7 linked regions of the Tribolium castaneum genome follow. The protein of the gene in region 3 purifies or fractionates together with the protein of the main gene of each other region. This does not show direct contact. Links are inferred from orthologs where the notes say so. Each region holds a gene or a part of one and is shown on either strand. Other genes may lie near its edges. The genes, in order: Sf3a1, icln, SmE, U2 snRNP-associated SURP motif-containing protein, calcium homeostasis endoplasmic reticulum protein, probable ATP-dependent RNA helicase DDX20 and 7SK snRNA methylphosphate capping enzyme bin3.

The links.
Region 1: the proteins of SmE (region 3) and Sf3a1 purify together in Homo sapiens (affinity purification with mass spectrometry; 3 studies listed by BioGRID and IntAct, counting the BioPlex papers as one, with this or other methods). This does not show direct contact. The link is inferred for Tribolium castaneum from reciprocal best matches to the Homo sapiens genes SNRPE and SF3A1.
Region 2: the proteins of SmE (region 3) and icln purify together in Homo sapiens (affinity purification with mass spectrometry; 5 studies listed by BioGRID and IntAct, counting the BioPlex papers as one, with this or other methods). This does not show direct contact. The link is inferred for Tribolium castaneum from reciprocal best matches to the Homo sapiens genes SNRPE and CLNS1A.
Region 4: the proteins of SmE (region 3) and U2 snRNP-associated SURP motif-containing protein purify together in Homo sapiens (co-immunoprecipitation; 3 studies listed by BioGRID and IntAct, counting the BioPlex papers as one, with this or other methods). This does not show direct contact. The link is inferred for Tribolium castaneum from reciprocal best matches to the Homo sapiens genes SNRPE and U2SURP.
Region 5: the proteins of SmE (region 3) and calcium homeostasis endoplasmic reticulum protein purify together in Homo sapiens (co-immunoprecipitation; 3 studies listed by BioGRID and IntAct, counting the BioPlex papers as one, with this or other methods). This does not show direct contact. The link is inferred for Tribolium castaneum from reciprocal best matches to the Homo sapiens genes SNRPE and CHERP.
Region 6: the proteins of SmE (region 3) and probable ATP-dependent RNA helicase DDX20 purify together in Homo sapiens (affinity purification with mass spectrometry; 4 studies listed by BioGRID and IntAct, counting the BioPlex papers as one, with this or other methods). This does not show direct contact. The link is inferred for Tribolium castaneum from reciprocal best matches to the Homo sapiens genes SNRPE and DDX20.
Region 7: the proteins of SmE (region 3) and 7SK snRNA methylphosphate capping enzyme bin3 purify together in Homo sapiens (affinity purification with mass spectrometry; 3 studies listed by BioGRID and IntAct, counting the BioPlex papers as one, with this or other methods). This does not show direct contact. The link is inferred for Tribolium castaneum from reciprocal best matches to the Homo sapiens genes SNRPE and MEPCE.

The regions. Positions count from the first base shown.
Region 1 is NC_087397.1:12,575,687-12,579,186, reverse strand, and holds the end of Sf3a1 (splicing factor 3A subunit 1), read left to right. Parts: intron 1-2,008; coding exon 2,009-2,149; intron 2,150-2,198; coding exon 2,199-2,349; intron 2,350-2,399; coding exon 2,400-2,575; intron 2,576-2,625; coding exon 2,626-2,799; intron 2,800-2,851; coding exon 2,852-2,953; 3' UTR 2,954-3,011; downstream 3,012-3,500. Other genes in the region: xylulose kinase, read right to left, coding at 3,015-3,221, 3,327-3,500. UniProt on the Homo sapiens protein: Component of the 17S U2 SnRNP complex of the spliceosome, a large ribonucleoprotein complex that removes introns from transcribed pre-mRNAs.
Region 2 is NC_087394.1:28,289,380-28,291,951, reverse strand, and holds icln (methylosome subunit pICln), read left to right. Parts: upstream 1-1,279; 5' UTR 1,280-1,295; coding exon 1,296-1,414; intron 1,415-1,466; coding exon 1,467-1,609; intron 1,610-1,658; coding exon 1,659-2,002; 3' UTR 2,003-2,072; downstream 2,073-2,572. Other genes in the region: uncharacterized protein LOC103312536, read left to right, coding at 1-112; transcription initiation protein SPT3 homolog, read right to left, coding at 164-1,057; Upf2 (regulator of nonsense transcripts 2), read right to left, coding at 2,249-2,572. UniProt on the Homo sapiens protein: Involved in both the assembly of spliceosomal snRNPs and the methylation of Sm proteins.
Region 3 is NC_087394.1:32,141,404-32,143,967, reverse strand, and holds SmE (probable small nuclear ribonucleoprotein E), read right to left. Parts: upstream 1,152-2,564; 5' UTR 935-1,151; coding exon 650-934; 3' UTR 501-649; downstream 1-500. Other genes in the region: kelch-like protein 21, read right to left, coding at 39-198, 248-381. UniProt on the Homo sapiens protein: Plays a role in pre-mRNA splicing as a core component of the spliceosomal U1, U2, U4 and U5 small nuclear ribonucleoproteins (snRNPs), the building blocks of the spliceosome.
Region 4 is NC_087403.1:337,146-341,257, reverse strand, and holds the start of U2 snRNP-associated SURP motif-containing protein, read right to left. Parts: upstream 2,801-4,112; 5' UTR 2,631-2,800; coding exon 2,613-2,630; intron 2,563-2,612; coding exon 2,446-2,562; intron 2,396-2,445; coding exon 2,299-2,395; intron 2,250-2,298; coding exon 2,060-2,249; intron 1,448-2,059; coding exon 663-1,447; intron 47-662; coding exon 1-46. Other genes in the region: arrestin domain-containing protein 3, read left to right, coding at 3,745-3,853, 3,900-4,112.
Region 5 is NC_087395.1:15,663,928-15,667,938, reverse strand, and holds the start of calcium homeostasis endoplasmic reticulum protein, read left to right. Parts: upstream 1-1,211; 5' UTR 1,212-1,217; coding exon 1,218-1,367; intron 1,368-1,373; exon of another isoform or gene 1,374-1,493; coding exon 1,494-1,525; intron 1,526-1,604; coding exon of another isoform or gene 1,605-1,653; coding exon 1,654-1,775; intron 1,776-1,826; coding exon 1,827-2,217; intron 2,218-4,011. Other genes in the region: uncharacterized protein Theg, read right to left, coding at 233-1,135. UniProt on the Homo sapiens protein: Involved in calcium homeostasis, growth and proliferation.
Region 6 is NC_087394.1:23,207,160-23,211,249, reverse strand, and holds the start of probable ATP-dependent RNA helicase DDX20, read left to right. Parts: upstream 1-1,290; 5' UTR 1,291-1,383; coding exon 1,384-1,570; intron 1,571-1,617; coding exon 1,618-1,791; intron 1,792-4,090. Other genes in the region: Aps (diphosphoinositol polyphosphate phosphohydrolase 2), read left to right, coding at 572-766.
Region 7 is NC_087395.1:19,351,113-19,355,249, reverse strand, and holds the start of 7SK snRNA methylphosphate capping enzyme bin3, read left to right. Parts: upstream 1-1,337; 5' UTR 1,338-1,492; intron 1,493-4,137. UniProt on the Homo sapiens protein: S-adenosyl-L-methionine-dependent methyltransferase that adds a methylphosphate cap at the 5'-end of 7SK snRNA (7SK RNA), leading to stabilize it.

The sequences.
Region 1 (3,500 bases), on a different chromosome or scaffold from region 3:
AACGTTTTCCTAGGAAATAATTCCCAGTGTTGTCACATCTACACATTGTGATTTTTTGGATAAATTTTAATTTTTGTAAATTAAAAAAACTGCTAAAGTCTGATAGAAAATTTAAAAATAATTATTCATCGTTTTGTTACGGATCGATTACCTGGTATGAAAATAAAAACATAAAAAAAATGAGAACTGAAGAAGTTAACAAAATAAGTTTGTAGCTCCAGATTTTTTAAAATATGACTTTAGGAATTTTTTCAACATTTTTCCCGTAATCTGCACTTGCTTCTCAATAACGTACTACTGAGTTGGTGCGCCAGTTTTTGAGCACCATCTTCGACGAAATCAAACTAATTGGAAAAAAGTTTACAAACCTTAAAATTTTAACATATTTGAACACTTCTACAAGCTATATATCAGTTTTTTCAAATGGAATTTTTATTTCAGTAGGTGGAAAAATGTAATTCTTCAACGATCTGTATTAGCATTAACTATACCTATCTGTGATAATTTTTAAGTTATGTTGGTTTTTTTTGACATTGCCCGAGGTTCCTTACTAGCAAGAGCTATTTTTGCAGAGTTTTACAAGGAAACATTTCTCACTGAATAAGCGATAAGCTCTGTTCAAAATTTTGCTTTCCTTTCCATTAAAACAAATAAATTCATTGAATTTAGATTTGAAAAACTTTAGATTTCTTATACAGGGTGTATCAGGAATACGTGTCTTAATTTTGACAGGTAATAGACTTCAGCAAATATAAAAACATTCTATTTGTAATTTTTCAACAAAAAATTCGCAAATTTACTTAAAATTTGGAAAAAGATAACATACTGAAACGTGTACCTGCCTATGGGTACAAAAATAAGAGAGCCGAACTATTTTCATTGTGATAGAAACGGAACATGTAAACAATTTAAAATAACAATAAAAATTGTTGCTATGAATACAAACTAATTATTAAACACTGACCGACTTGTTTCCACAAAAGAAACACGTATTTTTGATACAACCTGTATTTTACTCATGATTCCATGGCAACCTCGATGGCAACGCATGCGAAAAGCGCTATGGCATTTCTCAATACCAACAAAAAAATTCGTATAACTGTATGGAATTGATACAAAATTAAATTTTCTACCCTTTAGTGAAATAAAAATTGTGGAATTTCATTTAAAAATTTTGAGTTATTGGTATTTGGAGTGCTGCAACTTACTTTTTTAGTGTGAAGACACCAAAGAAAAGATTTTTTCTTTCAAACAAGCCAAAAAGGATTTAAACATTAAAAAAAAGCAGATTTTTCAAGTCAAAGATGCAAATCAAAATTTTTCAAAAAACTAAATATTTCGAAACCGATTAAATATAAGTATAAAAAAACTATTAAAAACTCCCTTAAAATAACTCAAGTAATCCAAAAATGCATTATTAAAACATAAATAGCTTTCCATTTAAATTAAGAAAGTTGATAACTACTTATGGGATAACCTTATTGAAAGTATTTTCATTGATCAGACTTAACGGATTATGGTTGTATACAAATTTTCAGATAACTATCATTATTTAGAACTCCCAATTCCCAATATATCTGGGGTTTAGACGGAACAGCGTGTACATAAATAACATCCAAATATCAAACAAATTTTTTTTCCGTTGGAGGTGGGCTTATGATAACCGTGTACTGTGCCGTGTTTTTTAACTTTTTAATTATTATACTTTATGTGAAATACTCTTACATGTTACGATTCTAATAATCTTTAATTTCTGGGTTTGTTTTTTATTATTAACTGTGATTTTTTAAACTCCCATCTCTATGATGAAAAGAGAAGGCATTATTCACGATGTTTTTATTTTAGTTACTCTTATTGTCGGTCTGTTTGCTGTAATTTCGAAATTTTCGATTTTTAATTATTATCTCGGTTCGGCTCTAGAGTTTGTCGTTTTTCTTTGTTGGTGAGACGCACATGTCGCGTCATTATGGCTATTGCGGTGCAGTAAAAAACAAACAAACATTTTTAGGTGAAAGGGCTATTGCCGGACGAGGAGAAAGAGAAGATCGGTCCGAAAAACGTGGTTGGTAGCAAAGCCCAGGCTAAAGTTAGCGCTGCGGCCGCTGCCGCTGCTATAATCTCTGCGAAACCTCTCGCAAATCCAAACCCGGTAAGTATGAACAGATTCCGTTCATTTCTCACTTGTATATATTGCTTAGCCGGTTAAAACCACACCGGTATCAGCAGTTATGCAAACACAAACTCAAACCATCGTTCAGGTTCCACAGCAAGCCACGATGCTACAACAGACGTCCATTATGATGATGCCAGCGCCGCCTATGGCTCCTATGCGGCCACCACCACTCATGAGTAGGTTTTTTTTTGCTTTTAATGAAACAAGTTATTAAGTTTTTCATTAGTGGCAGCACCTCCACCCATGGCCGGTTTTGTCACACCCATGGCCCAGATGCCACCCATGGGCGGAATGCCGGTCAAACATCCAAGTGAGACGCAACCGGAAGAAGAACCGTCGAATAAAAAAATGCGAAATGAGGATTCACTCATCCCTGAAGAAGTTTTCTTATCACGCAATCCGGTACGTTTGATCAAGTGTGCGCATGTCAAAATTACAATTTTAAATTACAGAATCCTGTTTCGATTAAAATCGCCATTCCGGTGGTTCCCGAAAAGACAGAATGGAAATTGACGGGACAAATGATGGCGTTGAATGTCCCACTTTCCGAAAGTGTTTCTTCAATCAAATCGAAAATACAGGAAGAGACCAATATGCCTCCGGCGAAACAAAAATTATTTTATGATGTAAATTTAATTATTAAATTTTTTTTGTTGGTTACTTATTTGTTTTTTCCAGGGCATGTTTTTCAAGGATTCAAACACGCTTGCTTACTATAATATCATCACGGGGGCTGTAATACAACTACAAGTGAAGGAAAGAGGTGGTCGCAAAAAATAAAGTGTATTTAATCAAGAATTCAAATAAATTATCACTAGAATGGTATATTTATTACGTATATTCAGACTTTATTTCCTAAAAGCATAGCCTCCAACTTTCTATATCGCGCAACCATTGGTTCGTAGATCTCACTAGCGTCGGAATATGGTTGACAAATGAGTCGTGGTGGGGGGAGACATGACGTAATCTCAAAGTAGTTACTTTGAGAGCCCAAAAGTCCGTGTTTCGCTTGATAAGCGGCCCCCAACATGGCCGACTTCGATTCGTCCTACATGAGTTACATAGTTATTTTTTCTATACTTTTGACAATGGCAGCGGCTTTTTGACTTTTAAATACAGTATAAAAACGCTAGTTAAAAAAGTTAATACTCACTAGGAGGTAAACAGGTGCGTTGAAGACGTCCGAAAGCACTTGAAGAATTGCTTTATTATTGGAAGCACCTCCCGTTGCTAGAATCTTCGTTTCTTTGTCCAATTTAAATCCAATGTCTTCGACGTAAGCCCGTCTTGCGATAAACTGTCCTTCAATCAAAGCCCGGACTTCGAC
Region 2 (2,572 bases), about 3.9 Mb from region 3:
GGCGAGAGAAATTATAACATCGGTTGCTTCAATATCATCTTGCATAATCTCTATTTTTTTCGTAAAAAATTTGTCGAGAATGGATTCGCTGCACATAAATTTTGCAGCGTAATATTTGGATAAATAAAAGACCGTTTAAAAAATTAAACTTTATTAGAACAAATTACAGAGCAAATAGATAATGCGTGTCTGGTAGTTTTCCCCCGAAATTCAGCTTCCCTGCTTGCGGACAGTGAATTCTTCTCATAACTTCTTTAATTTCATTGACACTAATGGGGGGCTGTCCACTGTAAACCCTGCTATAGTCTGGATTGTTACCACTAGCCCCTATCCTATAATCCCCATTAAACATCGTAGAAGTGTAGTAATTGCCGTATAAATGATTCAGTGGATCACTCCCACATTTGCCCTCCATCCTCACAAGCAACGCATAATCGGTTATCTCAGCAACTGTCTGGTACCCCAAATACGACAAAACCACCATAGCATTAGTGCTGAAATTAATTTCCTTTTTCGGGTCAATCCACTGTCTTAATTTTTCGGAGTTTCGGGCCGTGATATCTCTACTGCAAAACGAGGTGGCTCTCGCTTTGCAAAACTCCAAATACCTCTTCTCGTCCAGGGCTTGAGATATGCGATCAGCCCTCAGCATCCTCGACTGTTTGACTTCATCAACTTCGGATAAATCGGTGAATTCTCCCGTCTCGTCTATGTACTCGATAAACTTCATTAGCTCGTTCTTCGGTATGGGATCTCTGTCAATTTCAATGACCCCCGAGTTCAACGACTGGAGTTGCTGTTTGAGTTGCTTGTTTTTCAAATATTGGAAAAAGCGGCGCATTTTGTGCTTATTGTGCCGCATTAGGAACACCAACTCCTTGCCTTTGAGGTTCTTACCATCGGAGTACTTCAGCGCTTCCTGGACGATCATGCGGAGCTGCTTCAACACGATGCTCTCCACCAAACGCACCGTCTCGGGGTTCGGCTTGTGGCTGTCGCCGAACCCAAACATCATCAGCGAGATTTCGTTACAAAAGGTTGTTTTTTGGGAATCCATCAGTTTTTGTCAACAAACACCTAACCTCAATTGACAACAAATATTTTCCCCACAGAATAACAGGTTTTTTTCCCCAATCAAACACAGCCGGTTCAAAATACCAGCCCGTGATTGGTCCTTAGCTCACAACGCCGCCAAAAGAAAATAAAAATCCCCAAGTTAAACGTCAAGCGCCATAGTTTGTGGTTACAATAATTTTGAAAAATAAACACGTTTTGCGAAAAAAAGTGGAGGAAGAATGGTTGTGGTCACGTCGTTTAAACCACCAGAATCTCCTATAAGACTCGAGCAGTCAAACGTTGTGGTGATTTTGGATAAACGTGATCTGGGCACCGGAACCCTATTTGTGAGCGAAAGGTAACACAATTATGGCAAAACCAAACGAAAAATACATTGTGTTAAATTACAGGACACTCAGTTGGCAAAAAGACGGGACTACGGGTTTTTCAATTGAATATTACAACGTCTCGCTCCATGCGGTGTCCAAAGACCCCAACGTGTGCGAGAGGGAGTGTATTTATATTTTGACTGACCCCCACATAAATTTGTTTGGTTTGTAATTTTTTGCGCAAAATTTGGTTTATTGTGCGTCGTTTTGTAGGAGAAACTGACCAAAGGCCCGCAAATGATGACAGTGACGTTGAGTCAGAGCCAGACCTCTCGGAGCTGATTTTAGCCCCCGAAAACCCCACACATGTACAAAGTATTTACGAGGCTATAAAAATTTGCCAAGAACTCAATCCCGATCCTGCCGATGTTGACGACGAGGACGATGATAATTTATTCGCGGACGCAGAAGAAGAAATGTTTATAGAAGCAGAGTCTGAGCAGATTGGGGACGCAGTTGTCGACAGTTTGGCCGAAAGGCTACAAAACAACTCAGTCGACGTCCAGTACAGCTACCGGAATGGCAACGAGGATGAGGATTTTGAAGATGCAGACTGATCCCTGAATTATGTTAGGTTTTGTATCTTTAATTTTAATCCATTTTTTATAAAACACTGACTAGTGAAAAGGTTTTATTCCAACAGAAAACAATGTTGAACGAAACAAAAAATGAAATTCCTTGCTTCTCCTTCACAATTCTCAATTCCGATAGACTAAAAACGAAACAATCTATCTATTTCTGAAACATTCTGAACTTCTTTGACCCTTAATCGTATTCAACCATTTCATCCTGAATTCCTCCCATTATCTAACTCTCTTAGGTCCAAAAATCAGGTCGGCGTCGGGCGCCCCCTTGGGGTGCTGGTATTTCTTGCGTTCGCGGTTCAAGTTTTGGGTCACGGGCCTGTTCTGCTGCTGCATCATGTCTTGATAATCCTCCTCTTCAAACCGTTCCGTGATGTTCAGCGTCAAGCGCTTCACTCGTTCCTTCTCCTCCTTCTGAGCCAACTCCTGGTCCCTCAGATTCTGAGCGAGTTCGGAGTTGATATCAGCCTCGAAATTTTTATATTGCTGCTTGTTTCCTTTGCGGACCATTAGCACGAACCCGATTTTGTTGGGTTCCGTTTC
Region 3 (2,564 bases):
ATTACAAATAAATAAGAGAAAAAAAAAATTTAATTTACCAATCAGAAGTAAGCGGACGTGAGAAATGACATGTGAGAGGTGCTGGCACACTCTGGCCCTCTCTTCTTCAGTCCAATGGGCTGTGGGTTGGGTGACACCAGCTTGGTACTTTGCCCAGTTTAAAATTGCTCTCCAGACATCCTCTTCCTCCAAACAGAGCTAAATTGAAACAGTAATAAATGATTTTAAGTAAAATTTTAAAACTTACATAATCTGAGGAGATTAATTTTAAGACTGCTTCTTTGGGAAGAGAAAGAAATGAGTTTGTTTTTACACATTCTACAGCATTTTCGCCAATGTAGCTGACGCAACGTTCGACAAAACCTGTCGCAGCTTTACCCCCTACAAAAAAAATATATTGGAACACCTACAAGCTTCACAATTCTAAAAAAGCGATAATTACCTGTATTGTCCATCACATTTTAATTTTAAGGACTTTGAAGTTATAAAAATAGACATAATTACTAAAATAATTTTAATGTCCGCATTTCTTTTACAGAAAGTTGATGAATCACTTAATACTAAGACCAATTGCGGTTTTCATACAAACACATTACTCCAACGAATGAAAAAATTGTTATGAAACTTAGAATTACGCTACAATTTACAACTAATTGCCTGATTGAGGATTCACGTTCTGTATCAGCGTTATGTTATCTCCTTTAAGCATGATTCTTCCCAGCTGCCTCCTGTTCTTCGTTTTAACGTAATATTCCTCAGCATCATCCAGCACAAGATTCATGTATTCATCAAAACCCACAATGTGCCCCTCGATTCTCAGATTAATGTTCTCGTATAACCACACTTGTACACGTGAACGGTTTTGTAAGTAACGAAAAATTAAGTTGATGGGTTGTACCATCACTTTTTGAACTTTTTGTGGTTTGTACGCCATGGTTAGAGGAGTCTTGGGTTACCGGCAAAAAAAGTTCTTTAAGGAAGCTAAGTGCAAACACACTTTCACACAGCACGAATTATTCGTATTAAGAGAAAAAAACTTGTTCAAAGTTTGCAATAGTATTTATAAAACTTAAAAAATGAGGCGACGCTTACAATACGACCAAAGTAAGGTTATCTGTGTGAGTTCTGTATTCTGTTGGCAATCGTGGAACGCGGGAAGCTTGACGAGCTGAAATACACCAGAAAAAGGTCTGGTGGTTTGGTCGTTTTTAGGCTGTTTCGAAACTATAAAAACACCAACGTCCCATTTTTTTTCCAAAATTATTCACGCAGAATTATAGTCGCACAATTTATATTTTGGGTTTTCCTTAACTAATCAAGCTGAGTTATTCCATAATTATCATCAGATGGGCGTAAATGTCTCGAAAAAAATTTTTTTTATTCTCATTTAGCTTTCTTTGACGTGATAGTTTTTTATATATTTTTTTTGAACTTGGTGTCTCATAAACTCAATTTTTTTTTAATAAGGTTGATAAAAATGTAAAATAGTTATTAATAAATAAATCATTGAGACTATAAATAACATTACCTATTAGTTTTTTGAAGTGCATAAATAATTTATAACAACTAATTTTGAGAGAAAATACGAGGTTGGCGTTTTTATAGTTTTGAAATAGCTAATATGAGGAGTTGCGCCGTGTCTTACACACACACAATCGTCAATAGGTCTTTCTTTGTCATTGTTACCCTTAATGACACAATTTTGGTTTTGGCGGGATAATTTTACGTGACTTTAAAGAAAAAAACGACAAGCTATAAACTCGATATAAAGATGTGAAACGACATTTAAATCAACTCTTTACTGAATAGGAAGGGTTATTTTGCTCAAAAAGTTAGATAAATGCCTGAAATCACACTTAAGAAAAAATTGCCAAGAGTGCTTTGACTTTGCACCAAATGGATGCTGCTTTTAACAGTTGTCATCGCGTGATTGTCAGTCAGTGTTGTTATCTCTCAGAAAATCGAACGAAACTAGTGATTATTTGGACTGGGTGGTTCAAAAATGCAAAGTGGGGCACCTGTTTTTGTGGAATATTTGTGAATTTGAAAGTGCGGGCGCGCAGACTGTGACCTGGCGCGATGCGCACAACGACCTGCCCCTTGACTGTGTTTATGGAGAATACTCGGGGAAAAACCGGCTCAAAAGACACATTTTTCAATTTGGGTAAGGTAAGTGCTACACCTTTGCGGCCCAAAACCTCTTTGAACCTTAATTTTTTTATTTGCACCGGAGATTATTTTTATTTATATTATTTATATTTTCCAAACTGTGATGAAGTGTAAAGTGTTGTTTGAGTCTTAATAGCCCCAAAAACTAGAATTAGGCGAGAAAAATCTCAAAATTAATGCCAAAACGATACAAAATTGATGTTAATGAGCCCTAGCCGATCCCAAAGGACCAAAGGATCATTTATATGAAATCTGTGCATAGGGGTTGAGTGTTTTTTCCCAATTTTCAAATGCTCAAATGGCATAGAGATACAGCGTCTCTATAGGCAGTCAGGGCGACTCTAAGTGCACTATTAGGTCACTATTTCTTTTTTAGTTATTTCTTCATTAGCTTT
Region 4 (4,112 bases), on a different chromosome or scaffold from region 3:
CCGGCAGTGTACGAATTCATCAGAGGGGGCTTCCAAATTGAACCGTCTTCGCAAGCAAACAAGAAATGTTTTAAATTATATAATTCTATTACAAAAGATCTAGATATTTTCTTTCATAATTTCCGACCAAAAACTCTACAATTCGATCTATTTAGTCTCTTTTTCTTCGTAATTTATAATGTTTTGTACAAGTGTTATGTCTCTATTTTGTCAGTTTTTTCTTTTTTGGTATTTTTTTACATATTTTATTTGTATTGTTTATATATTGTAACTGTAATGACTACTCGTCCATTTATATAATTTTATCCATACGAATTACATACAATACAAATGTCCTTCATATACTTCAGAGTATACGTCATTTTTTAAGAATAAATGTTTTTAAAGGTGACAAAATTTACTGGAGGATATAAAACCAGAACAACTTTAAACGATAAAAAGAACTTTAAAGAAAAACACAAATGGTATTATTTTTATTGCTTCTGTGGATTTTCTTTAAAATTCAATAATATCCCAACTTTTTTCAAAGTTTATTTGTATCCGTATGTTGTGTATCATGTCTTGACGGAGATTATAATTTTGCCGTTTGAGAGCGTTTTCGCGAAATCTCCACAAAATTAACACGTTTTAGAGCAAAACCGTCCAAAACACCAAATTCTTACTTTTGAAAAGTCGAAACTCTTTGACGCTCCACTCTTTCTGTGAATCCCCGTGCATGATGGAGTAGAGTTTCCACCGGTAGTAGATATGAGCCGGGCTTTGATTTTCGAAAAGAAACCTGTAATTAGGGTTGTGTATCTCCCGGTTCATAATCATAGCTTCCAACATGGGCCCCTCCCGAACCACAAACTCGACCATTCTGTGTATCAACATCAACAGATTTCTATCGGTCGGAATCACAACTTTGACAACACTGCGCCCCAAAATCTCGTTCAGTTCCTCTGCAGATTTGGGCAGAACGTCCTTATCCCGGGCGCAGGGCTGGGCGTTGAAGGGCAGTCCTGAGGGAGGCGGAGGGAAGGACAGTTCCAGGAGCGCGGGAGGGATGTAAATGGGATGTGGAGGGATTATTACCGATTTTCCCCAACCAAGTTTCATTTCATAACCTAGGATTTCTTTGCCGTTTAAGTTACGAAGCGCCCTTTCGCCGTCTTTTCGGCTCATGTAGGCCACGAAGCCGCAGTTGCGGCCCCGGGCCTTCTCCTCGTCCGAGCGGGGCCACATTATTTTAATACTAGCAAGGGGGCCGTAACGACCGAAAATTTCCATCAACTGTTGCTCGGTTATTTTGGGGTTGAGGTTGCCAAGGTAGAGGTTTGTCGTTGTGGGGTCGCCGTTATCGAACGACCCCAAGTCACCGCTCCGCAAAAACATGTCCAGCTCGGACTCCATGGGGGTCCTGAGCACCCCTTTGTACTTGTGTCTTTCCTCCCGCTCCTCCTGAATCCTGGCAAAAATTTCATCAAATTGTGCCACAAAACAAGAGACCGGTCAGAATAGACATTTCAATTTCCAAAAATTCGCATAGCGGTGAAAATTCGTACAGGACTTATGTAAACTATGACAAATAAACTATAAAAAAACTCCCCACCGATCCGACGTGTGCTAAAAAAATATTTTAATAACAATAATAATTTATTTATCCTTAGAAAATTTACATTAATTTATAGGACACGTCAAGTAATAAACTCATCATAACTGTTTTATCAAGATATGGTCAAATAATACGCCTAAGTATTTTATTGTTCCTAAGTTTTCAAAATTTATATTACGGAGAGAGAAAATCATTCATTTTGTTTTGCGTTCATTTAAACATAAGTACATTTGCAGACCATACAGGCGCTTTTTCCTGCATTTGGCATAATTCCGGCTTTACAAAAAAATGCAAAAACCGATACTTTTGTCCTTTGACATTGAATAACTTTTTTAGCACACGTGGGATCGGTGGGGACTTTTGATATTTTATTTGTAATAGTGTACCTAAGAACTGTACCAATTTTTAGCTCTACGCTTATCACTACATTTTTGTCTATTTTGACCAACTCAATGGTATATTTACTGTCTTAATTCCTCTTTAAACGCCTCTAGGTTGCTCTTAGTGTGCTGTTTCTTCTTCCCTAACCGTTCAGGCTTCTTATCTGAGATTAATTTAGCGTAAAACTGAGCTTTTTCCGTTGATGCCATTAATTCAGTGGGGGCTAGTCGGGACTGCGGTTTGTACAACTTGCCCTTGTCTTTAGTATCCTCCTCTACAAAAGCCCAATTTATTTTTGATTTTTTTCACAATTTAAAAAATACTTCGCGCTCCTGCATCGTAAGTCCCCGCTTTGACCCACACTTTACTCGAGCTGCTAATAGGGGACTCTTGGAACGTAGCGACAAATTCCTCAAAAACCTTAAATCGAAGAGGTTATGTAAAAAATACTACTGTATTACTAGTCCTACATGAGCCGCAGCCCGTTCCTCTTCTTTTTTCCGTTGTTCCTCTAATTCTTTTTTAGATAACGAACGTTTCCCCATCGTGCCGATCGAAAAAGCCTTTAATTTTTGCTCAGGAATGTTCTGTTACGAGAAAAACGTTAGTTTTGAGGGGTTTTATTAGGGTGAACTACCTTTATTTTATCACCCATTTTGGACGCAATTCCCACCAAACACTTCACAAAACGGTTTTAGCTAATTAATATTGAAGGAAACCTAATAATAGTCATAATATAATTGTTTAATTTCCTGATATGAAAAAATAATAATACACTGGTGGTTTTAGGGAGTTTGCGTTTTCATATTGTGGGCTATTGGCGACGCTGACACTGCGTGTAAACGTTCCCAAACTTTGGGCGAAAATACATGAACCAAAAAACAACAAAGTTAAAACAATATCCACACGTTTTTGTACTTTTTGTAAAAAACTAAAAAACTCGAAACTAAAAATTGATAACGTAATTATGTAACGTTTTATAAAAAATGGGTGTATTACGTGTTGCCTACAAGAACACTCCAAAATCTCGTAACTATGTTTATTTCAAAAATAAACAAAATGTTTGTGTTTACTGTAATTATTCAAGTCATTAGCTTCATTATGTGTTTATCATTTTCACATAAATCGTCCTATAAACTCATCAAATAAAAAATATATATAAATTAATAAAAAACGCAGACTGTTAATTAATATTTGTATCAACAAAAAAAATCATTACTATTTTATTTTCATTTTATTTTGGGAAATAATAGTCTCTACGACATGTGAATCGCTAATTACATAATCACTACTGCCAAGGCCGCTTTAGAGGTCGCCGCTCATTATTAGTATTATTGCATAACAGTGCACTTGAATTGCAGTTTTAGGGCGAAAAACTGTTTTCGTAGTCATCGATAGAGTAGTGTTTACGTGTAGTCGTATCAGCATTTTACGTTATCTCATTCATTTAGTCACAATTCTCCTTCCTTGTTTACTTCAATGGCCACAATTTACGACCTCTTCGTCTCACATTAGTGGGATGGGCTCAAATATTTCAACCAGTTTTTATTTTTAATTCAATTCAGTGGCGCCATTCAAGGCTGAATTCTCGTCGAAGTGGTGAAAAGAAATGAATTACGTCTAATTACGCCACGGTTTTTCTTCACTTAGGTACGTGGATGATTTATAATTGATTTATTAAAATAAACTGTCTCATTCATGAAACACTAAGGTAGGTTAGGATTTTACGACACATTTTTATACAGGGGGTGATCCACAATTTGGGCGAAATGTCTCAAGTTCGCATTTGTTTGGAGAATTATTCTGGGACATATTATGCCGGATCTGAGATTAGGGGCCGGCTTGAGTGTTATTTTGATGAAGAGACTACTGTTAGAGGTGCATTATGATTTTTGTAGCAATGTGTTTTTACATTTTTTTCTAGGAATAAAACTTGAGATCATATGTAGGGAACATAATGAGTGGACTGGGACTGAGGAGTATAAGGACCCAACAGACAATTCCACTAAAACACGACATATTACTTTAACCGGGGATCATGACGTGTTTCATGTTAAACAGATGTTGTTTGGGTCTGAATCTGGGAGTCGGGAGGTGTCTAGGGGGCGCCAAGTGTACCCTTTTTCGTACCATTTAC
Region 5 (4,011 bases), on a different chromosome or scaffold from region 3:
TTATTTTTTAGTGAGACACTGTAAATAATTGTTTTTAATATTGAGTACTTAATTATTTTAGGCACACTAGGATTTTTTCATTAGACCCCTTACTGTTATTTTATCTTTATTATCTGAGTAGGTGTACTTTTTATTTATACCCTTTTTCATGCGAGAATAATTTAATTGCTTGTTTTGTTACACAATGTTATTTGCGTCCATAACTTTAGATCAATAAATTGTAAATACCTAGCTACTCTCTTTCAGACGGCTTTGCCAGTTCCAGTATCCTAGCCGTGGGTTTGTACTTCAGAGCGTTGGGCGAGATGACCCAAGGGTCGTACTTGTCCTCGTCGTGTTTCTTAGCCTCGCGTGCACTGAACGAAGGCAGGGCCAGTTTGTCAATTCTCTCGTTGCACTTCGCCCTCAGAGCTGACCTCTTCACATACCCGAGCGGTAACCCCTCGGGCTGTTTCTTAAGTCGGTCAGGAATGTGGTACAGCTTCTGGATGGCCTCGGTGATTTCGTACGTCAGGGCCTTGGGGTTCACCACCCCCAGGACTCTCGGGGGCACGATGTGGTACTCCTTGGGGGCGGCGAGCACGTCGATGTTGGCCAGGAGGTCGTCGAGCGGCTTCCACTTCTTGGGGATTTTCTCAGGAAGCGGGATCTTCTTGGGTTGCGCCATGCGGTTCCAGTGTTCTTGCTTCATGGCTTGGATTTTTTCCAACGACTTGCCTTTCGGTTTCTTTGCTTTGAGTTTCTCCAACTTGCGCCTCAGTCGCTTCAAGCGCCTGTCTCTGAGTTGTTTGCGGTAGTAGTTGTATATGGAGCCCCACGATTTGTCGATCAGTTTGGTCAGGTTTTTGGCGTATTTGGGGCCCCGCTTGTACGTGGTCAGGTTCACGTTAAGCAGCCTGAGTGGGGGCCTGGAGAGGTGGTCGCTGCGGAATTCGATTCCGGGGTCCAGGCGTTCCGGTGTTTTGGGCGGTTTGGGGACCGGAGGCGCGTACTTCGGCACCCGGATTCGGGGCACGCTGAGCATGTTTATCCGCCAGGGCCATTTCCACTGCTTGGGGGCCTTGGTTGTAGGCTCGGACGCGGTTACTTTAGGTTCGGAGAATGAGGGGTGGACGATTATATCTAATTTTAACATGATGATGATTTTGATGAAATGACTGAAGGAATTTTGACTTGATCTCCAAGGTGATTCAAATTGCGCGCCGCAAGGCGCCAACATGACCCGGCAAAGTTTTGCAAAAACACGCAAAAACTTGATTATTTTTACCCAAAATCTATTGATAAGTGTTCTATTAACCGAGCGTATCAAATTTGGGGCCGTTTTAATTGGAAAAGTGCTAGTTTTGAGGTCGTTTGCCCAACAAGTGGTGAGTGTTACGTTGGCCGAACTGCGTGTCAGTGTTCCTACATTCGAGAGCGTTTTGTCAATTTTCAAATAATCCCATATTTCCCGAATTAATGAGTTTTCTGAGATAAAGTATGCTTTAACTTAGGATTGCAATGGATTTGCCGCAGCCGCCCCAAGGTAGGTGCCCCAACTTCGCGAAAACGCCGGTTTTCTTCCCTTGCAAATGCGAGACGATTGAGGTTATGTTTGTTGTTAGATACTGAATTAAGAAATATTATCGACAAACTCGCCCAATTTGTTGCTAGAAATGGGCCCGAGTTCGAACAGATGACCAAAAACAAGCAGAAAGGCAACCCCAAGTTCCAGTTTCTGTATGGAGGAGAGTATTACAATTACTATCAGTATAAAGTCACCACGGAGCAAGCAGGTATTTGATTGCGACTTTCGTGCAACTTGCGCCGCATTGTGATCGTTTTAGTGCTAAAGCAGCAGGGGATTTTGGAGAACAGTCCGAATAACTGGAACTCGCCATCCACGATGCACAATTCCGAGATTGAACAAATCTCAATGCAGCAAGACAGTTTGAGGGAGCAGATCAAGCAAAGTGAGCAGAATCTGTCGGCGCAGCATACGGTGTTGCTGCAACAGCAGCAGGCCCAGGCTGAGGCTGTGGTGGCCAAGTGTGAAGCCGCAGCTTTGCAGAAGGAGGCGGAAGCTTGTGATATAATTTTAGAGGACATTTACAATATTTTGCAACCCATTATTGAGAGTTGCACGAAGGACAGTATAAGCAACGGCAAGTCTTGGTTTCTGCAACATGCAAACAGCAAGGAGCAGGCTTATTGCATAGTCCACTGTTTACTAACAAAGTAAGTGCCGGTATTCTCAGAGGAAAGTTACTAAATAGGGGCTACCATTTTCTTATTGGAGCAAAAATTAAAAAAAAATATTTAGAAAACAACTTTTTATTAACGTAACACTAATCATAATCAGGCATAGTTTTAGAGAGCAAAGTAATAATCTCATATTATCAGAATTGAGCATTAAACAAAATTGCAATTTAGGCGCTAAATCTGTACCTCAATATTCAGGACTAACTTAAAATAAATAAAAATTCGTATTTAATAGCCAATGTCACAATTTTACCTAACATTAGCGTGTATTCTGTAACTTTTTTAACTGGCTGTTAAAATTCAACACTGGTTAAAATCGGAAATCTAAGAATTGCTATAACAATAATTAACTGCCTTTAAATTTTAACGGTTTCATTACAAAATACCCGCTATTATTTATTTCGTTATTATTTTTTATTTTGTTATGGATTTTTTTGTTGTAAATGGGTTAATTGTCTTCCGAAAAATCTTGAGCATTTTGGATATAAGGAAGATTTCTGTAAAAGTCTTGATATTCCTCTGGTGTCCAATTAAGCTCAGTCATCAAGTATTTTGCTTTACTGATGGATTTGCGCTGATTTCTAAGTTGGAGGAGTAATTGAGGCAAATTTAAAGACTTTCTTGGTTTTCTTCTTAATTTGACACATTTGAAAGTTTCTGTAGAATTTGTTTAAAAATATATAATTTCTGCTTTTCTTAACTGAAACCAAATAACTTCTGATAATTTAAGTTACCTTCCATCCTCAATTTTTTTCTTGTAACAAGGTGAAGTTACATTCAAATTCAAATAAATGTTCCAAAAGTCTAAAAAGCCTTTTAATTTCATTAAATACACATTAAGAGGAGGATTTTTGTAATTTCTAATAAAATTAGCCCAGTTGTTGTAAGTGAAAAAATTAAAATTATCTTCGAATAATACTTATTATTATTATTATTATTATTATTATTATTATTATTATTATTATCAAAAATTTAGCCTCGTCAAAATTTGTCGAAACCAAACTTTTTTCATTATTTTCCAACTTTTCGAGGTTATGTCTTTAGAACTGAGCTTTTCTAACGTAAAATGACCGGCGGAATCCAAACTTGCAAGAATCAAGTCGCTACGACTAACCGTTAGGAAAATATCGGCAAAAATTTAATCTCGTCACAATTTGTCGAAACCAAACTTTCTTCATTATTTTCCAACTTTTCATAGTTATTCCCCTAGAATTAAGTGTTTCTAACGTAAAATGACCGGCGGAATCCAGATTTGTAAGAATCAACTCGCTACGACTAACCGTTCGGAAAATATCGTCAAAAATTTAGCCTCGTCAAAATTTTTTGAAACCAAACTTTCTTGATTATTTTCCAACTTTTCATAGTTATTCCCTTAGAATTGAGTGTTTCTAACGTAAAATGACCGGCAGAATACAAATTTGCAAGAATCTAGTCGCTACGACTAACCGTTCGGAAAATATAGTCAAAAATGTAGCCTCGTCAAAATTTTTTGAAACCAAACTTTCTTCATTATTTTCCAACTTTTCATAGTTATTCCCTTAGAATTGAGTGTTTCTAACGTAAAATGACCGGCAGAATACAAATTTGCAAGAATCAAGTTGCTACGACTAACCGTTCGGAAAATATAGTCAAAAATTTAGCCTCGTCAAAATTTTTTGAAACCAAACTTTCTTCATTATTTTCCAACTTTTCATAATTATTCCCTTAGAATTGAGTGTTTCTAACGTAAAATGACCGGCAGAATACAAATTTGCAAGAATCAAGTCGCTA
Region 6 (4,090 bases), about 8.9 Mb from region 3:
CACAAAAGTTCTACATACTTCAAGTATACTCAATAATCCGATTTTTTGACAGTCCAAATCTTTACGTCTGAAACCTTGGTTTTATTGACTTTGGATAAACAAGGTATTACTATATTTTTCTAATGTTTGTTGGAACGTGTGCTATAGCGTACTGAAGACTTTACGCGCCAATTTGTACATAGCCTGTATTTTTTTATAATTTGAAAACGAATTAAACTTTAATAATTGGGAACTAAACTGATTTGAATTTATTTGTCATTATACTTTGCATGGATAATATGGTTAAATTAATTAGAACTATTTTTTTCATTTTTTATCCACTTTCAAATTCCAACAAAAAACACTTTAAACCACGCAAAACCCCACAATTAAAGTCAAAGCTAGTATTTATCACCACATACTCTCCCTAATGTAAGAAATTGACAATGTTCACTCAAAATTGCAAAAAATTCATTAAATGGGGGATTACGATAATTTCGGTACTGTTTCGAGAGAGCGTGTAGTAGTTAATTTAATTTTATTTTTTTAGTTTAAGAAAGTGTCCGATTCTACTGAACGTTCTTTTTTTCAGAATTTAGAACACAAAGACAGGACTGAAGTGTATGTCATGACAGTAACTGAAGAATTAGACGAATGGGAAGACTCAAAGACCATAGGAAGGAAGCGACAGTGGTTCACGATAGAAGAGGCTCTAGAACAGCTCGCGCTGCATAAACCGGTGCAACGCAATTACCTCCAACAGTTACGACGCTCGAAACTAACATGAGATTTGTTTTATTATTAAAAACACTGTTACTGTCAAACATGTGCTTGAGGTTTTATGGGTTTATTTATTAAAGAAAATTCGACTATATGTAAGATATTGAATTCGATTTTTTCGTAGTTTTCTGCAACAATAATGCTCTCGGTTTTAGTGAGGTATTGTTCTTTTTACGCCGTTCTGTTTACAAAATTCATTTAAATTTAAGACTATTATAGTACTTTCTTATTGTTTTGTTGCCTTTTGTTATAACCTGAATATCAGAACAATAAAATGTTACTTAATACCGACTCATTTTAGTCATTTCGAAACTGGCGCCATCATTTCGATCCCAACACCACGTCGGCATTACAGGAATCATCTTCAACAAATCAGTCTTTATCTGTTTCAGAGACGTTTTTTACCAATTTTAAATACAAAATGATGAATTCTAGCAACTAAAAGTAGCACAATTATTTACATAACAAAGCTTGATAGTTTTACTAAAAATTAAAATATTTTAGTACGTGTACGGTTACAGATTTCTGTAACACATCAAACGATCACGAAACGTCAAATTTTTGTTTTTTGAGGTTATAAAATTATGTTAGTTTTATGGTTAGACAGTTTTAATTTATTTAATAATGCAGCCAACCATTGCTCACGATTTAGATGCAAAAGAGCGCACAAAAGACGTAATTCTCGACGAAAACATCAGTTTTGCGTCATTACTACTCCCCGACGACATAAAACAGGGGCTCTCGGTTAGTGGTTTCAAAAAACCGTCTCCAATTCAGTTCAAAGCCATTCCCCTAGGACGATGCGGTTTTGGTACGTTTGTCACTTTTGTCAGGACTAGAACTAATCGAAAATTGTAGATTTAATTGTGAAGTCCAAGTCCGGGACCGGCAAAACTTTAGTGTTCTCAACAATTGCTCTTGAGACTGTTAATACGGCCAAAGACCATTTACAAGTCTTAATTTTGGTCCCGACGCGGGAAATAGCTGTGCAAATTGAAGACGTTCTGCGCAGCGTGGGCTGTCACGTAAATGGTTTTTATTTTTTTTTTTTGTAAAAGAACATACAATCAAACAAAATGAAAATGATGCGTCCATAAACGAACGTTTACGGTGCCACACCAAATTCTTGACCACAACCAACCCCTGTAATAAATCATTAGAGATCGTCAACTAGTTTTGAATGTTGTTCTACATTTTGAAATGTTGAAGAATTCCTTGTTGTAAATGGTTGGCTAGGACAAACATGAAATAATAGTTACTTCCTCAAAGTACGAAAACACATTATTTGAACACGAGTGAGGTGTAACGCTACGCTTCTCCTCCTCTTTCTGCTCCTCTTCGATCGGTAAAATCTCCTTACCGTTCTTGAAACTTAAATAACTATAATACTTATGCGACTAAAATTTGCCGAATAACAAACGTGATAAAACACGGATTCTTATTTCATTTATATTAAATTATTATCATTGCGAATTAATGAACAGAGTTGAAGGTTAATTAAATTTTTACTATATTTGGGGAGTGCTGTTTAATATGTTTTCGTAAACTAAAAGGTTTTGTTGCAAAAATAAAATTACGTGACAATTAAAAAACTGTTTTATTTCACTATCTTTTGCGGTGTAATCGGTGTAGTATTTTTCATTAAAGACTTTGACCGCGAAATGATCACTGCTCAAAAATATTTTAAATTAAAATAATAATTATTTTTAAAATTTCATTGTTACAAACTGTAACTAAAAATTTTATTGTCTTTATACATAGTTTATTTCTTAACGATATAAAACTTACTGAATCGTTGTGCATAAAACAAGATAAAACAAAAATGTAGTAATCTAATAAAATTGTATTTTAAATTTTACAGGTAAAGACGTCTGTCTATACTTTTCATCGTTTCAATTATTAATTGCACAATCGGTTTTATTAACATTTTTGTTTATTAAATGTTTCAAAAACTTGGTATGACTGGAATAAAAGTAATCAATGGACGTTAGGGTAATTCATTTATGGAAATACCCTGATTAAAATTTTGACCATTTAGGTCCAAATAAGGTTCATTAGAAAAATTTAAGAATACCTAACACCATAGGAGATAAGGTGAGACCAAAATTTTCCAATTTTTCTTAAAATCGATAAACATTAATTTATTAATTTTTTTTAAAACAAACGAAAAATAAAAAAAATCAAGTTCGTTACATCAGGTTTTAAGAGGTCAAAAAAAAATTGTATTACTTAGTTAATGCCAAATAAGTTTGTGTCGATTTAAAAAACATTTTAATTTTAATTCGAATTAACTTTACCTTTTTGTCATTGAATTTTAAATGGCAACTTGATGTCGGACTTTAAGCCACTTATTTGCTTCGAGATTTTCGAACTCAATCGTGTCTTAATTATAACTAAGTATTATTTACTACAATTTTTTTATTTCCGAAAATAATTTGTTTTTTTAAGTGAACCACAAAACATCCAACTAATTTATTTATTTTTAGTGACAAAACATGGCAACGAATCTGAAAATTTTTTTAGTTCTCATTTGTTTTTTAAGAAAATTAATAAATGTTTATCAGTTGTAAGTTCATTGAACCACTAGTTTACGATCTCTAATAATTTATGGTAGGGGTTGGTTGGTTGGTTGTGGTCAAGGGATCGGGGGTGGTTATGGACGCGTTTTATTTTTATTTTGTTCGACTATACAGGGTGCTGCATTTTGGATGTCCAAATAGGATCTTCGAAACTATAAGAGGTTTAGACTAAAACGAGTGACACATTCTCAGGTCCAATTTTTGAGAAATAATTTTGGTCAAAACCGCTTTCCGCGGTTGTTTTCGACTTATAAATAAAAGTTGCCATTTTAGCAAAATCCTAAAAACCCCATATCTTTTTTATTATAAAAGATACACATTTAAGACACACATTATGCAGAGAATATAACAATGTTATCAGCGTTTTTTTTAATTATTTGTTTAACTGTAACAACATAAAATTGAATTTTTTAAATAGGAATCATAGTTGGCTATGACATTTTCGAAAAAATTTTTTTTTCTGAACTGAAAACAATATAAATACAGTTTGATATTTCTATATACTTTTAATAAAAAACATATTGAAAGCAGTTGGCCATGGAAAAATTATTTCACATATAAGCTGTGAATAATCTAGAAATTTTGTGAACGGTTATTAAAGTAAAAAATTTGAAATTATCAAAATAAGTTATGTTAAAGTTATTTTCAATAGAACAAATATACGATCGTCGCAGATTTTAATTACATAAAAAATGTTCAGAAAACTGAAAACGATGTGTCACTACTATTTAATAACACTTTCTTATGATTTA
Region 7 (4,137 bases), on a different chromosome or scaffold from region 3:
CGCACCAACTCAATGCTACGCGGTAGAGAAATGCTTTCATAAAAAGGTAAAAATATTTTTTTTTAATTGGTAAATAACAAACTTTAAAGAAATGATTGTGGCAACGTTGTCTAACAATCGAGATCGCAATAGATCCCGATCAACAATAAAAATGAATAACTTTTGAAGTGGTTTCATAGGAAATCCCAATGTTGGCACATCTACAAATTGTGATTTTTGGATAAATTTTATTTTTTTAAATCCAAGGAACTGCTAAAGTCAGATAGTAATTTTTAAAATAATTATTCATTACGTTGGGGAACGATTACTTAGTGTGAAACATAGAAACATTAAAAAATAATGAAAACTGAAGAAGTCAGTAAACTAAGTTTGTAGCTTCATATTTTTTTGAATATGACTAGGAATTTTTTCAAGATTTTTCATATGATCTACACATGCTTTCCAACATTTTACCAGTGAGCTGGTGCACCAGTTTTGGAGCAGCCTGTATATTTCTTGAAAGAGATAAAATTATGAAAAGAAAAACTGACTTTGTGGTTATAGATATTTCGCCAGTTGTCCAGTTACCGCTCGTAAAACGTCTAAAAACTAATAACCTGATAAAAATTTATTTCAAGGTCGACAATTATTTATGTTTCTAGTATACCTAAAGATACAAACCAAATTTTTTAAGACTATTTGCCATTTTCACCTTTAACATGTCATAATTTTGCAAATAAAAATTACTACTAGATAAAGCATAAAAAGTCCGATCGAAAAGATACAGAAGATGGTTTCATAAACTATAAAGCTGCATTCAAACTTAAATATCTATTTTCGCATTGGAGTAATAAGGTAAACATCACATCGAGATCCTATAAATATGACTAATAAATAACACACTTTGTACAACGGAAGACAAGCAATTTTGGCACGTCATCCAAAAATAAAATACAAATATATTGTCCAAAAATATTTACGAAGTGCATTCGAAGCAGGTGTTACAACAGACTATAAACAAAACTTTTCAAGAATGTTTCCAATTGTGAATTCAGCCACTCCTTCAGCAGGAAAAACTAATTATTTCCCAATAATTATAAGTGGTTCGAATTTATGATCATTTGCGCCAATAAAACTCCAGGACCGTATCGACACATTTTCAAATAATCAATTCCGGTTAATTAGGTCGCGAATTTAGAACGTCGAAAAAACGCAATCATCCGCAATACCTTTCGGTTACCTCCCCAATTACCCGAAAATTACATAATTAGGAACATAACACTTTTCAACTCCTCGCTAAATCGCCCATCGTCCCTCATCGGCTCCGCTTCGGCAAACTCCGGCACTGATATTAAAATGGAGTCTAGTTTACAAGCACAACGATTTGTAGTCGTTCAGACGGTGCGTTGCAAAGTGAAGTCTCTTTTTCGGCCGTTTTTCAGCGGAACCTAAGGGAAAAGTGGCCCTCAAAGGGCATCAAACGAAAGCTGAAGCCACGCCGGACACGTTGAAGGTAAATTTTTTGACATTTATGTAATCTGTGAGGAGTTTTCGCCCAAAACGATAGCCAACGTCGATCTCCGCAGTGGCATACATGTTTGTTCCGGTGTGCGCGTGCGCAGTGCCGATTTTTTGCGGGAACTTGGGGTGCCGGGCTTTTTCGAAATTTTCGTAAATTTAGAAGGGCCACCGCTGAGGTGAACTTCGGAGAGGGTTATTTAGTCGGGAGTTTGCTCAGTGGGAAGGTTCCTAATTGAACACTGCTTTCGCGGGTTTGTTATCAAATTGCGGGAATCCGGACGTTTATTATACGCTCCGGCCGGAATTTAACGTCACATTTTTAGTTTAATTAATTTAATCGATGGTAATTAATTATCTGATTTATTTGAGGTGTTGTGTATTATACCGATTACGATAAGAATAATTTATTGCAGTTATTGGTGCATTTAGATTGGTCATAAATATTTAATGTGTTGACGGATTAAATTAGAAATAGTCAAATCCTTGATCTTAGACAACTGTAACCGAAGTGCGACCGAAAAATCAGAATACACGCAACGGCTTGTACAAGAATACAGAGTATTTATAAAATGTCTATCATCAAGTCACCTAAGTCGAATTTAATCGCTATCTTCTGTCAATATACTTACATTACACCCAGATATTTGTAATTAATTTGTAATTTGGCTGTTTGACAAAAATGCATGTTTGCATGAATAATGGCAGTTTTGTTGTTACTTTTTTTGTAATAAGAATCTTTTATCGTTGATATTGCGTGTGGGTTATTTATTTTTACATATTTCATTGATAAAAAATCCAGGCATATAATATATGATTACTTCGTTGCCAACACGTTAGATCTTGTTACAACTGACATTTTGCATATTGAAAATATAGCCAAGCTTCAAACCGTGCCGAAACCAAGAAATAGTTGAGTATATACGGGGTGAGTCTGCTAAAAGTATGTTTCACTATTCTCAGAAACTAATGGTCGCACCGCATTCAGTATTCACTGTTAAATACATAGTGACGGTTTATAGAAGCGTCAATAATCTAATTCGCAATTAAATGCGTGATCAACTGATCACGTGAACAAATGATTGGTCTATTCACGTTGTTAACTTTTAACAACGAATTAAAATTTAAGGGAGCTTTCTATAAACCGGCCTATTAAGTTTTTTGCTATGTATGTGAAATTTTTCCAAATTTTTTTACTCTTCTTTACAAGGTGATTCAAAAGTGTCGGACAAACTCTCGTATGGTGATAAAAGACATTCAATTAAGGACAAAAATGAAGTTAAATATTTTTTCTAAGAAGTCATTTTTTTATATATTTTTTAATTTGTTTTCTTTAGCAGGTGTATCGATTTTTGCTCTTTTGTTTCCTATGATGTCGAATTTTATTTATTAGCGAATTTGCGAGTTTTTTAATTGTTTTGTACATCATATGACATTAATTTTTGATTTTTTTGTCGTTTACGCAAAACGTCAAAAAACATGTAATCTGAATCACCAAAAACTTAACTGAAAAATTCTACTTTGAGTAGTTATAGCTCGTGGAAAAAGGCTAAAACAATTTTTGTCATAGGAATTTTTAATTCTCTTTGATGTCCTTTATCCGCACCCGAGAGATTGTCCGGTAATTTTGAATTACCGTTAAGTTAATTTATTAAATTTGTATTAATATAATGAAATTAAAAAAATGGGGTTGGTTTATGGAATCGTCATTATTTTAATCCACAATTAAATGCGTGATTAACTGATCACATGACCAAATTAAAGCAATTTGGTTGGTCCATTCGCGTTGTTAACTTTTAACAAGGCAGTTAACTTTAATTGAGCTTTCTATAAACCTGGTAAATGCGCCCAAAGAATTATATTTTAATAAAGCTTTCTATAAACCGACCCTTAGTGTTATTCTAAAACAACGATGTCTAAATGTTTTCGAGCAAAAATTCTTATAAAATAAATTTTGGTAGCCCTAAAATTACGTTTATTTAAATTTTGAATTTATAACTTTATTTATTATTTTTGGGGCTAGCGACATTTTTTATGGATTTTTATCACAGGACAACATTTAAGTATTGCTTGTTTTCAGATGACACAAAAAATAACAGTTAATAATAATTAATAATTCATAAATTTTAGGACCGGTTTATAGAAGCGTCATTAATTTCACTGATTAACAGATCACGTGACCAAATTGAACCAATGTGATTAGTCTATTCGCCTGTGATTAGTTTATTCGCGTTGTTAAGTTTTAACAACGAATTAGAAATTAATGAAGTTTTCTATAAACCGGCCTATAATTGCTTAAGGAATTGTAGAAAAATTCTGAAAAAAATAAATTAAATTAAGTTTTCAGTTGATTTTAAGAGATAATAATTAAATTGCTTGCAAGTGGTTGAAATAAATGAAATATTACGATAGATTTTTTTTGGGTAAAATATTTATACATGGTGTTGGTAAAAACAACGGTGTAACCCTTCGCTTACTGCAAAATTACAAAAAAATGTAAAATGGCCATTTTTTTCTAACTAATTTGTCTTTACAGCTAGAACTTAAGTAATAATATTGTCTTATTAGGAAGAAGGTTTTAAATAATTGCAAAAGACGAAATACCTACTAGACAACATTTAAAAAAAACTAAGAAGAATC